Mus musculus: one gene and its partner. The protein of the gene in region 2 interacts with the protein of the main gene of each other region in a biochemical or structural test. Links are inferred from orthologs where the notes say so. Each region holds a gene or a part of one and is shown on either strand. Other genes may lie near its edges.

What was found.
Region 1: of the proteins of Malt1 (region 2) and Relb, one has a biochemical effect on the other in vitro, tested with the Homo sapiens proteins (2 studies listed by BioGRID). The link is inferred for Mus musculus from reciprocal best matches to the Homo sapiens genes MALT1 and RELB.

What each region holds. Positions count from the first base shown.
Region 1 is NC_000073.6:19,626,639-19,632,598, forward strand, and holds the start of Relb (transcription factor RelB), read right to left. Parts: upstream 2,801-5,960; 5' UTR 2,605-2,800; coding exon 2,553-2,604; intron 2,157-2,552; exon of another isoform or gene 1,970-2,156; intron 1,844-1,969; exon of another isoform or gene 1,438-1,843; intron 1,333-1,437; coding exon 1,285-1,332; intron 1-1,284.
Region 2 is NC_000084.6:65,427,800-65,435,358, reverse strand, and holds the start of Malt1 (mucosa-associated lymphoid tissue lymphoma translocation protein 1 homolog), read right to left. Parts: upstream 4,370-7,559; 5' UTR 4,188-4,369; coding exon 3,961-4,187; intron 1-3,960. UniProt on the Homo sapiens protein: Protease that enhances BCL10-induced activation: acts via formation of CBM complexes that channel adaptive and innate immune signaling downstream of CARD domain-containing proteins (CARD9, CARD11 and CARD14) to activate NF-kappa-B and MAP kinase p38 pathways which stimulate expression of genes encoding pro-inflammatory cytokines and chemokines.

The sequences.
Region 1 (5,960 bases), on a different chromosome or scaffold from region 2:
GGAACATTACAGAACAGTATAGGCATGTACTGCTTTTACTGGCAATAGTTGTTGTTGTTGAGGCAGGGTCTCTTCCTGTAGACCTGGCTGTCCTGGAACTCACTATGTAGCCCTGGCTGACCTCACTGAGATCTGCCTGCCTCACTATGTAGACCAGGCTGGCCTCACAGAGATCTGCCTGAGTATAAAGGAATAGACCATCACTGCCTGCTCCCTCTCCCTGCTTCACCAAGGGTCTAGATAATTTAAATGGACATGGTCTGAGAACTATGATAGTCTAACTAACTGCTATTATTACTCTTATTATCATGACTATGCCACTAACAGCTACTATGAACTGGAAGGCTATGAATTTGTAAGCATCAACTCATTTAACTTTCTCTATCTCCAAAAAGGAACAAATGGGTATGAAACAGATGAATAAAACTGAGGTAGTTTTAGGGAAATCACGTGAGGGGGTGGTAACATCATGTCTGAAATTCAGTTCCAAGGCCCAAAATAATGGATGATGGAGAACATCTAAAAGAGCCTTTACTTAGGGGGTCAGCAAATAGAACTATACAAGCTTCTAACAGTCTTGACAATATGGGCACGTAAGGAATAAAACAGGGAGAGACAACGCTGTGATTATAAAATGAAAAAGGGGTACTAATATATGTTTTAAGGTGTGTGGTGAGGTATGGGGGAAGGGGGTGCCTCCGTGGGCCCATGCCAAGGCATCCCTTCCCTGAGGGACCAGCCACTCGAAGGTTGAAGGTCGGTATAGTATAGAACAGAGTTTATTTAGGGCATGGGGAGGGGAGTTAAGAGAGTAGTAGAAGCCGGGCGTGGTGGCGCTCGCCTTTAACCCCAGCACTTGGGAGACAGAGGCAGGCGGATTTCTGAGTTTGAGGCCAGCCTGGTCTACAAAGTGAGTTCCAGGACAGCCAGGGCTACACAGAGAAACCCTGTCTCGAAAAACAAAACAAACAAAAAAGAGAGTAGTAGAAGCAGAGAAAGGCAGAGAGAAGTAGAGAAGTAGAGGCCAGCCATGACCACGTGGAGAGAAGGGGAAAGGGAATGGGGAGAGAGGGGAGCAAGGGAGCAAGATGGAGGGGATGCATCAGCCCCTTTTATAGTGAGCCAGGACTACCTGGCTATTGCCAGAGAAATGTGGGGGTGGAGTACAGACAGAGTACCAACAGACAAAGCTTGCAAAGTGGGTACACTCATTCCCTCTCCACGGGGGCTCCTCCAATCCCATTTCCTACAAGCAGGTGGGCAGGGGCTGTGGGGGTTGCTCACCTGTGGTCCTGGAGACCGTTAGTGACAGGGAAGAGAGGTCACTGGAACCTGTGAGATGGAGACCTGGATTAACAAACAATGCAGGACCAGAGACTCTGATGAGCCTGCTCCTCTCTCTGGCTTGGTCCCTTGAATAAAGTCCCTCCTCCTTACCGAGCTCAGGTGCAGGCCAGCCTTCTCTAACTCCTTTTTTTTTTTCTTGGTTTTTCGAGACAGTGTTTTTCTGTATAGCCCTGAGCTGTCCTGGAACTCACTTTGTAGACCAGGCTGGCCTCGAACTCAGAAATCCGCCTGCCTCTGCCTCCCAAGTGCGCCACCACAACCGGCTCTTCTCTAACTCTTGAAAAAAGTTCTGGCTTTTCGTTTCTGCCTTTGACTCCGCCAATCATCACTCAATATCCGCTACTTTCCCCATTAAGGTGGGACTTGGAGGACTCCTGATGCCTCAGGAAAACCCCCGTCTCCGTTCTTCCCTCAGGGCGAAATCCGAGCCCCAATACTTCGTCACTGGAGAACTTTCCTCTCCCCCATCTCGCTGCAGGCCCCGCCCCTTTTCAATCCCATCGTCAGGCCCCGCCCTTCGTTTTCTAAACAGGCCCTGCCCTTTCCCTAGACCTGCCACTACGCCCCACTTTCCCCCACCCCAACCCAAGGGTAAGTCCCGCCCACTCACTGAGCCACACACCTCTTCTTGCTCTTGGAGCCTGACCCCGCCCCTATTTCCTGTCAAGCACAGTCCTGGATCCTCCTCCTCGAGGTCAGGCACCGCTCCTCCTTAAATCTTGAAGCTGGGCCCCGCCTCTTTCTTTGCCTCTAAAGGCCTAAGCCTTGCGGGAGAAGGGTCCCCCTTGTTTGGAGAGAATAAAGCCACTTCCTCGAATTAGGCTCCGCCCCTTACTCCTAAGAGCAGCCTCACCCACTCTGTAAACCAGAAGCCTCCTCTGAGTTTGCCCCGCCCCTGTGTGTATGGCTCCTCCCCTTCAGAGTTATGCCCCGCCCCTCCTCTCGACCGCCGCCCGGCCCGCCCCCTTCTTTGCCTCAGGCTCAGGCCCCGCCCCCTTCTCACTCCTTAGCGGGACGCCTAGCCTGTATCTCCCCGGCAAGACCCTTCACCATCCTCTACCTTCTGCCTTATCCCTCGCGCAGTGTCCCCGCCACCCTTGTACTCTCCGCACCGAAGCGCGAATCCTGCGGAAACCCGCAGATGACTCCGAGCGCCCCGAACTCCCCGAGCCCGAGCCCCGCCCCAGAGGTTCCACTCTGCTTACCCAAGGCCCCTAGCTCGGGCGCGGACTCTCTGGCAGCGCGGCGACTCGGCATGGCCCGGCCCGTAGGGACCGACAGCCCGAAGGCCAGCTCAGGGCGAGCGCACACGAGGGCAAGCCGGGCAGTCGGACAGCCCGGTCGGCTGGGACGATCACCGGCCGGGCAAGCGGTGCAAGGCTAGGGCCGAAGGCCGGGCTGGACGCACGGCGCCCGGGGCTGCGGGGGGCGCCGGGCCGAGCGGGCGGCGGGCGGGGGCGGGGCGGCGGAATTCCCCGGCGCCGCCGGCCTGCGCACCCATTGGCTCGTACCCCTCCGTGACGTCACGTCAAAGGGAATGGGAAAACCCCCGCTGCTCACGTGACTGCGGGGGCGGGGTCGGCCGGGAAGCGAAGGCTTGGCACTTCGCAGGGTCCGGGTGCGAGTCGCTGCCCATTGCCTTGGCCAAGACCACTGAGGTCCGTCCGGGTCCACTTGCGCCCTACCCACAGAACAAGCTGAGAAATGGGCATTCCATTTCCCCTACGAGGGCTTGAACCTGCTATCTTTCAGGCTGGCAAATGAAGCCAGGAGTGGGAAGTTAGCAGCCATTGATAATTTGTTTGAAGTAAAATTTACATAGGGTCTCATCTTGCCCAGACCGATGACCTTGAACTGCAGATCCTTTTGCCCCCATGGATCCTTCAGATTCGTCCCTCCACAGTGCTGGGACGACAGGCATGAACCACCACCTAGTCTATGCAGCACTGAGTGTTGAACCCAGGGCTTCATGAATACTGAGCTACAGTCCCAGCCCGTTGGTGATATATGGCACCTATAACCTATAGAAACCTATAGAAACTTGTATGTTCCATTCCCCTTCTATCATAGCATGTGTGATCAATGATTCAAGCAACCTACGCATAATTAAGCACTTGCCATATGCTGCAGCCTGTAATGAAAACTAGGGTACAGCATTACTAAAACCAGGCCCACTTCTTGCTCCAGAGGCAGAAAACTGCAGCAGTGAATGATGTGGCACCGGTATCTACTGTTGCACACCAAAGCAAAGAGCATTGTTTTGGTTTTGCTATGTAGCTCTGGTTGACATTGAATTCATGATAATCCATCTGCTTCAGCCTGAGTCCTGGGGATCCCAGGCACCTACCATCACGTCCAGCTTAGAGCAAACCTTTTCTTGCAATGAAAGACATTAGGCTCAGGCTTTGAGAACCAAATGGTCTTAATTTTCAAATGTGCCATCTTACATAAACAGCCAAGGACCAGAAACAGGGATGTGGCTATGTTCTATTAGAACATAATTTGATAAATATAGAAATGGGAATATCATGTAACTTTCACACTGAATCATATTCTTTTTCACTTTGTACCAGAGGGAAATGTTCCAGTGTCATAAGCAAGCCCAGGAGTGGACATCTCCCATAGAATAAGCTTGCCAGTCACACACACACACACACCAATCACTGCTTTCCTTGAGGTTTTCCAACTGTAGTGCTGAGGATGTGGCTTGTGATAGAATGCTTGTCTAGCATGTATGAGATTCTAGGCTGTGTTCTCAGCAGCACACAGAAAGATATTGTAGCCACAATATGCCCATTCTGGACAGACAGAGGCAGGAGATCCACTGACAAGTAGTGAGTTCCACTGCATAGCAGGCCCTTGTCTCAACGCAAACCAACAAAATAAAACAAAAAAGAAGGGGGAGAAGAGGGGGAAAATTGGGCTGGTGGTGTGGCTTAGTGGTAGAGCACCTGCCTAGCATGTTGGAGGACCTGTGTTGATTGCCTGGATCTGAGACACGACTGTGAATTCAAAAGCAAAACTGAGAGCCAGGTATGACAGCTCACACGAGTAACTTAAAACACTTGAAAGTCTGAGGCAGGAAATCACCACGAGTTCTAGGCCAGTCTGGACTACTTATAGCAAGACCCTGAATGAAAAGACAAGCAATCTCTCTCAAGAGAGTTGTAATTGGAAGGTCCTGAATCAAATATCCTGTGTTCAAATACTAGGTTTCCTGGACAATTATGCAATTCCAGGCAACTGATTTCACCACTCTGGACTTGAGTTTCTTAACAGGATGGCTTTAAAGACTTAAGGAGGTAGTCTAGTTGACTCTTGACACAGGTCTTCCATGCACCTGCACTATTCAAACTACTAAATACTTGTTAGGGTACATACACCAGGCTGGCCTCTGACTCCTGAGTACCATGATTAAATGTGTGTGATCCCATGGCCAGCTGGGAAAAAAAAAAACAACTGAGTTTCTCATCTGGAGGTACAGAATATCACAAACTTCAAAGAGCTGTTGTGAACACACACACACACACACACACACACACACAGCAACAATGCTGGACACTGTTCTCAAAGTTGGGGACAGTACATGGTGCATCCATGGTGTTTTCCATTTTTTATTCTTTCAAACAAGGTGTTAAATAGCCCAGGCTGGCCTCAGACCCAGCTTCTATTTCTGGTTGTGAGCCTAGCCTGTAACAGAGGAGCCATCTCTCCAGCCCCTCAGACCCAACTCAAAGCAGTGAGGATGACTTTGATGTCCTGACCCTTCTGCCTCCACCTCCCAAGTGCCAGGATTACAAGTGTGTGCCACTATGCCAAGTCTTGTTTTGTAGCCCAGGCTAGCTGAAAGTTTTTAAATCTGGATTGACCTCTCAAAATCAAGGATGGGGAATAACCACTGTGCCCAACACTACCTAGAATTCTGCTAAGTTGTGAGCTCCTCAGAACTGCCATGGAATGCTGGTCCTACTGTGTACACAGAACTGTTTTGTGCTGTTTGCCCAGACAGACTTGCGAAGGGTTAATAGAGACCCATCCACCAGTACCCCAATAAGGGCACTGGATATGTCCAGATGTCCGTGAAAGCAAATGGCACCAGAGTGGCTAGGATACAGTCATGTTTTCACAGGTCTTGGTCCAGTGAAGGAAGTCTCCTTGCCATGATGTACCAGTGGGCAGAGCCTCAGGACTAGGCGGTAAGGGGTGCCTGGGAACACCACCAATTGTATCCTGAAGGTACTTGTGTCCCAGAAAGGACTTGAGAGACTGGGGCTAGAGGTGAGGCTGTGGCAGAGCATGAGACAAAGGCTGGGGACATGCAGCAGCCCCCTGGGGATCACATTAGCTGTCTTCTGAGAGCACTGGGTCAGCAGGTGGAAGGGGAGCCCAGCAAGGAGAGTGGGTATGATACCTACCTGTGAGGCACCATCCCTGCTTGACTCAGCAGGGAGAAGTAGGTGGAGCCTGAAGCAACCTGGGGTTGGGCCAGTGCCTCCTTGCAGCACTGCTGATCCTACAGTCTGGGAAGGTGTAGTGAGTACCCCCAATGGCTGTCATTCTCCTAGAGAGGGTAAGCAGGCCCTGCTCCTGGTATGGACAGTTAGGCTCTTGAG
Region 2 (7,559 bases):
CCTATTAAGTATAGGACATGTGACATTTAAGATGCCTATTAATCACTTGAGGAGAGGGCAATAGCCACCTACATACATATATCTGGGAAAAGCAGATATTTCTCATTGTAATGAGCTTGACTGTATTCAAAATCCTGAATGAAGGATAGTATTAGGAGATTAGGTAGAAAAGCACTTAGAAATAAAAGCATGAATTCTTGCACACTTCAAAATTCAGACTGATGAGACAGATAATGGGAGACACTCTCATTCATCTTTTTAATATGTTTCCATTTTTATCATCATCTGCTGGAGGGTAGGACTTCTGCAACTAAAGAGCATCTTCTACACTGCAGACAAGCAGCAACAGATGGTTTCCCCTCGGTTCATGTTTCACAGCCCCACTCTCAAGCGCTCTGCTTAGAGGATTTAGATACTTTAAGCTTTCTGAAAGTTCTGCCAATCCTTGTAGTTTAGCCGTTCCACTCACCACCAATTAACATATGTTGGCACACTAAGAGTATGTCTAAACTGGAAGAAGGCAGCATCCAATTTTATCCAAACAGCGTGGAACATGCCTTTAATTTCTGCACCTAAGGGCAGAGGAAGATCTCTTTTGTGTTCACTGCTAGCTCTGTCTAGATAACAAGATCCAGGTTAGCTAGGGCAATAGAAATCCTGTATTTAAAGTACCTGATATTAGATCAGTTTGAACAGAATCAGGGTCAGTAGTTATTGGAAACTAGAGTACATGCAACGATTCAATCTGAATCATCAATAATCTCACCAATAATCACATCATTAATCAACTGTAAAAACATTTTCAATATTCCTAATCTCTGAGGACAATGCAGAATGGACTCTTACTATGATTTGTATTATTAAATTCTCATGTAATTTAAAGAAAGATGTAAAGGCCGAGGGAAAAAATGTGGCAAGAGGCTGAGCATGGTGGCACTCAAAACGCAGAGGGGGGAGGATCATGATAACTTTGAGGCTAGCCTGGTCTATGAAAGTAAGACCTGGTCTCAAGCCGATAAAAAAAGAAAGAGAAAAATAAACACAAAGGGCAAAATTTTGAGATTAGGGCTGTGAATTCAACGACTTAGAAAAGTAATTCACATTCTCCCCTGACTTGTTACACACCCTCAAGCAGACGCTCACACTGCAATCAGAGGAGAAGGCCTTTATGACCGTCTACCATCAGATGCCTTCCTTTCATTAGTATGAAGTCATTTGAACTTTTCAAACAATACTAGACATAATAATAACAATCACCAGCTGACCCTGCATATCCCTTTGGCTCATATACTCCAGCCCCAGGTTTTCAGTGCTAACTTCTGTTATTGTTTTTGTGACAGCGTCTTATGTAGCACTGGCTGGCAGAGAATTCACATTGATCTGCCTACCTCTGTTTCCTGAATGCTGGGATTAGTGTGCACCACCATGCCTGGCTTTCAGTACTAACTTTTAATGGCAACTGATTCTTCTAATCTCAATTGATATGAGTTTAGTACTTCCAGATTCTCCACTCCTCCCACCCCCAATTAACCCACACAGAGCTATCTAACACCATCTTGGAAGACTCATGAAACTAAACATAGTTTTATATAAACTAAATAAAACACTGTATCAGACTCTCTACCTTGAATTCTAAGATTCTAAAAATGAACAATAAGTAACTGGCCTTCTTTCCATACTACTCCTCCTAAAGTGGCTTCAAACTTTTCTCTAAGTTCCTCCCCCCAAAACAGTTAACACTACAGTTTACTTAGCAAAATGGTACTGAAGGCTTAAGAAGAGAAACTTAATACCCAGCACTAAGTACCCAAACCGTTTGTAGTCTAGTAGTCATGCTTCTTTTAGGCAGGGCTTGGTATATTGACTTTTAGTCTTCATCACCATCTAGGCTCTCTCCAGGAAGTCTAGGGCCTTCCATAACTGGCTTTACAATTAACACTGGAATACTCTGCAGATCTACCCACAAAGGAAACGATTTCTTGTATTATGAAAGTCTAGAAGTTGAGAAATTTATGGAGCTTGAATGATACTTTGGACCTACTTTGTAAAACCCAAAGCCCAAGGTATTTTTCCCAGTACAGAACTCATGTCCTTTGTCTGCTCAGCTTTGCTAGTTCACTGTTTATCTGACTTCTTCTCCGAGACAGAGTCTCGTGTACCTGACGCTGGTCTTGAACTCCTTGATCCTCCTGCCTCTACCTCCCAAGTGCTAGGATTATAGGTATGTGTCCAGCTTAGTTGTCATTTTCTGATTTTTTTAAAAGTCAGGCAACATGAGCCTTTTTTACTTGAGCAATAATCCTACAGCAACATTATACTCTTCACCTCAATCCTAAACTCTGAAGCTCACAGTTGTCGGGAATGTTAAAGTAGATAATGCTTTTAAACAGCACCATATAGATATATACTGTGATTGCACCCAAATAATGGTTGATTAGAACTTCCAGCTAATAAGAAGCACTCAACAAATACAATCTTGAACAAAGGATTCCTCTCTCTACTTAAAATGTATTTGCCTAAGAGAAGTTCTTAGCACAAAATAAGAAATGACTTCTGTCCCTAAGCTTATAAAGATGTATACAAATAATTACAGTAAAAATCAAAGCTTAGTTATTTGACAAGAAATTAGAGAAGTTAAAGGACAGGCTGAAATCTTGACAACGGTACAAAGCAGTGGTCCAAAGTTCTGTCAGGGAACACCTAGTGTAGTTCCTAAGACTACTTTCAAGGTTGTTTATAAGGGTAAAGCATTTTTTCATAATAGTACTAAGACCCTATTTTCTATTTATTCTTAAAAGAGAAGTTTCTAGAGTTCTGATACTTATGACACTGTAATAGAATGAATCAAATATAGAAAAGAATATAGCTCTGCAATTAAATTAAGGCACCATAAAGATGTACAAGGCATTCAGCAGTCTGAGGTAAGAAAACTGCTACAAGATCCAGATCAGACTGGTTGATGATAGTGTTCAGGCCACCTCAGGCTATATACAGTGAGATCCTGTCTCAAAAACCAAGAAGAAAAAGACTTCAATATATGATGCCAGTTTGAAATCCCAGCATTAGGGAGACTGAAACAGGAGGACAGAGAAATCTGTGGACAGGTTAAACTACATAGCAAGATCTTGTTTAAAAACAAAAACAAACAAACAAACAAAAACCAAAAACAAAAAACCAAACCAAAGCAACCAACCAACCAGCCAACCAAACAAAAACTTCAAAGCAACAGATTTAAAAAATGTTAACCAATGCTCTATTTGTTTTTTGGACAAACTTTTTCTGAAGAAAAAAAAAAAAAACCTGACATCATTTCTGCTACCACGCAAGAATTACTTTTAAGATAAATATTTTAAGAGTTAATAGTTTGACTTTCAAGTAGAATATCCGTGCACACCTGCAAAATATATAGAAGGCACACAAAGGTTATTTGTGGTCTTCCATAATTCTCAGGAGGGGAGAAGTCTTGAGATCCCAGATTTTAAGAAACACTGACTGTGGCCCCAAGTCACGTCAGTGGTCTCTTTTCTCAGCCGGGAAAGTCGTTTAATTTCTTAAGAGTCTAATGTTCATAGTGAAGACTGGTAAACTCGTGGGACTGTAGACGACGATGAGTTTAGATCCAGTCTCTTCCTCCAGGAACCCTTGCACGCTTCACCTCTTTACCTACCGGAGTCATTCCAGACCACCCTTTGGGTACCGAGGGCTGGGTCCACATCTCTGTTTTTTGCTTTAAACCCCACTGGATTACAACCCTGCAGATAAGCGTCCCTACACTTAACACAAACCTGTGAACTTGCAGAGATCGCTTTCCAGCTTCAGGGGCGGAGGAGGGTCGGGAAGATATGAAGGGGCCACTGGGCCATTAGGGCCAGTCCCTTCCCGACTCCGGAGCCCAAGTCGGTCTCACGCGACTCCGTACCACGGAGCACACCCCTCCGCCCGCCTGACGGTCCCGCTCACCTGAGCCGGAGGCGTCCCCGACTGCCCGCCAGCTCGGCCAGCTGCCGCCAGCCCCGGCCCTCCGGAGCGCGGTCCAAGCTCTCGCTGAGCCTCCGCAGCAGCGGCTCGGGCAGGCGGTTGAGGGTTGCGCCGGCTGGAGGGGAGGTCGAAGGTCCCGAGGACGCGGTAGGGGGCTGCCGCACGGCCAGGGGAGGTGAGGCCTGCAGCGGCTGCCCCCACAGCGACATGGCTACGCCGGTGGCCTCGACTGCCCAGCTCCCGCCGGTCACCTCAGGCCTCGGCGTTCGCGCACCTTCCGCTTGCCTCTCGCCGTCCCGGGAGCCGCAGGAGCGGAAGGAGAAGTGGCTGCACGGCGAGGCCCTCACAGGAAGAAGCACTGCTCCCGGGCTGCGAAACAGGTTCCCCCTGTGAAGCCGCGCGGGGCGCCAGCGGAGAAGAGGGGCGGGCTCCGGGGGCGGGTCCTGCCTGCTAGTGTATGGGCGGGGCTTGGGTGGCGCTTCCCCACTGGCAAGGAGCGAAGAGTTCGGGGGCGGGGCATAGGGCGGGGCAAGCTCATCAGAACAAACAGTTTCACCTGTAGCGACCCGGGCCGGGAGGCAAGGGCGGGGCTTGACTTCGGGCTGTGGACCGCTGCCTCGGTCACTGGGGAAATGCTAGCCTTGGGGGCGGGGCATAGTATGGGCGGGGCGTGAGGCCGCACGTCCCCTGCCGCTTCAGAGTCAGTGGAGCAGGAAGAGATGGGATGGGTGGGTGTGTTGGAGGAAGCGGCGGAGGAACTGGCACAGTTAGGAAGCCTGCGGCGTAGGAGCTTCCCGGGACCGTGGGAGGATGCTTACCTCACACCGGAGAGGGTAGCACGCGCTTCCCGGAGGCGCCCCTACGCGCGTCCGCTCTCAGCAGACCTTTGGGCTTGCGAGTGTGCGGAGTCCCCCAAGAGGCCACCAGCTCAGCCCATTGGGCAACCTCAGACGCTTCCTCTGCAAGTGGAGGGGTTTGCCAGAGGGAAGTAATGGAGCCAGAGATTCAGATACTCATAAGGGAATTGACCGAAATCTTTTCGAGACTTTTAAAAAGATTCGATTTTCTTATCGGAGGATTCAACGGTGCAGTTCGGTGGTGGGCCTCTGTTCTAGCATGCCTAAAGCTCTGGGTCCATCCTCGGCTCCACAATAGCTGAGCAGCAAAACCCAAATACTTCTAGTGTATTTTAACTAATTAGATCCTGGGGATATTTTATCTTAGCAGTAATGGTGTGGTGTCCTCAGATCAGACTGTCACACACAATGTTCATATTCTAAGCAGTTCCCCTGGATTATATAGACCAACAGTTCTCAACCTGTAGGTCATGACTCCTGGAGAGGGGGTGGGGGTGGGAGGAGTAGTCAAATGACCCTTTCACAGTCGTCGACTAAGAAGACCATTGTAAACCACAGATTTTACATTCCAGTTCATAACAGTAGCAAAATTACAGTTATGAAGTAGCAACAGAAATTTACGGTTGGGGGTCACTACAGCATGAGAAACTGTATTAAAGCATTAGGAAGGTTGAGAACCACTGATCTAGACTAAGCTTGACAGGACCCACTCTTAAACTCTCACCTCACCTCATCCATAGCAAAGGCTGTTAACCCTTTGGAAACTATAGGCTTGTTTGGCACAGGAACAAACAACTTGTAGCCAGTCAGGTAGTTCTGCGATACAAGCCTTTCCTGCCCAGTTTATCTTGCCTTTAGTTTTTTCATCAGACAGCAGGGGTTTCTGCAGCAGTCCTTTGAATGACCAGATTCTCACCATGTTCTAGTACATCCAATCACTGAGGGTTTTTTTTTTTTTTAAGTCCAGTTTAAGTTCAGAGTTCATGGGTGTAATGACTAAGTATGAGTGTGGGTTCAGAAAGATCTGCTAGGTTTGGTTTTATGACTTTACTAAGTTGATTTCTGTCCCTCCCCAGTTAAAATGGAACTGGATTATATTATATAGAATTATTGCCAGGATGAAAATATTTGTTACTGTTAAAACACTCAATTCAATGACTGGCACATACCAGATACTGACCATTTTATCCTTCACAGTACAGAGGCCCATTTCACATTTAACCTGAATTGGAAAACTTTCCCCATTTTTTTTTTAGTGTTTATGTTTTTCTTAATCATTGGACAATTTCCTATTATCTATGTGTGCATTATGGACATTAAAAACCTTCTAGATTGTGTGTGTGTGTGTGTGTATTTGGGGGATAGAGTCTCATGTAGTCCAGGCTGCCCTTAAACTTCTTCCCCGCTTCACCTCCTGAGAGCTGGGATTATAAGCATTCACCACCATGCTTAGTTCTATGAAGACCTGGGAATGGAGCCCAAGGCCTCTCATGTGCTAGACAAGCACTCTTTCAGCTGTGTTGCATCCCCAGCCCTAAGTTTTCTAATCTATTGGCACTCTACATTTTAATTTAAATCCGATAGCCTAATTTCCCCTTCCAGACCGACTTATCCACTGGTGCTAGCTGTGGCGTAGGCGGCAGCGGCTTCTATGTGAAAGGGTCCTGAACGCTGGCTCACACCATTTACCCTGTGGCTGTCCTTCCTGGGTTCAGCCCATCTTTACTCAGCATAGCTCAGCTAAGTACCATGTCCACTCCCTTCCCATTCCCCTGCTTTGTGCCTCTCACATCTCCCACCTCCTAATCTACTCAGTCACCTTCCCCACTACTCTCCACTCAGTACTTTGATAGGCATTGCATTTTTATGGTTGATCTATTTCTCTTCTTAATAAAAATCCTCATATTTCTATCACCTAATTTTCACTTCTGGGACATAAATGTGAGTTCATAGTTTGATGCCGCCACTTATAACTGACATCCAAGTGGACGCGTTATTGAACTTGTCCGAGCTTTAATTTCTATGCCCTTAAGAGGTGGAAGATACTGGTACCTATCAAGATAATGATTGGGAGAAGTAGGCATAGCATTACTTAAGGGTGGGAATGTCTTTTGAGGAATGCAGCATGAGATGACTTTTGTTGTGTGAACCAAGACTCCTGGGCCAACAGGTTTGATTCCTGTTGCTGTGGTGAACACCGCTACCAGAAACAATTTAGAGGAAAGGGTTTATTTCATCTTACCATCATCGAGGGAAGTCAGGGTAGGAACTCAAGCAGGGCAGGAACCCATGCAGAGACCAAATAGGGAATGTGGCTTACTGCTTCGCCTCCATGGCTTGCTCAGATTGCATTTTTGTACAGCTGCGCAGCGACGGCACTGCCCACAGTGAGCTTGTCCCTCCTACACCAATCAAGAATAAGTCCCTCAGACTTGCTTACAGGCATTCCGGTAGCAGTTTTTCCCAAATGAGATTTCTTCATCTCAGATGACCTTAGCTTTTCTTTTTTCTTTTTTAACATTTTATTATTTATTATTATATGTAAGTACACTGTAGCTGTCTTCAGGCACACCAGAGGAGCATCAGACCTCATTACAGATGGTTGTGAGCCACCATGTGGGTGCTGGGATTTGAAGTCAGGACCTCCAGAAGAGCAGTTGGTGCTCTTAACCGCTGAGCCATCATCTCTCCAGCCCTTTCTTTTTTTCTTAAAAGAGATGGTGT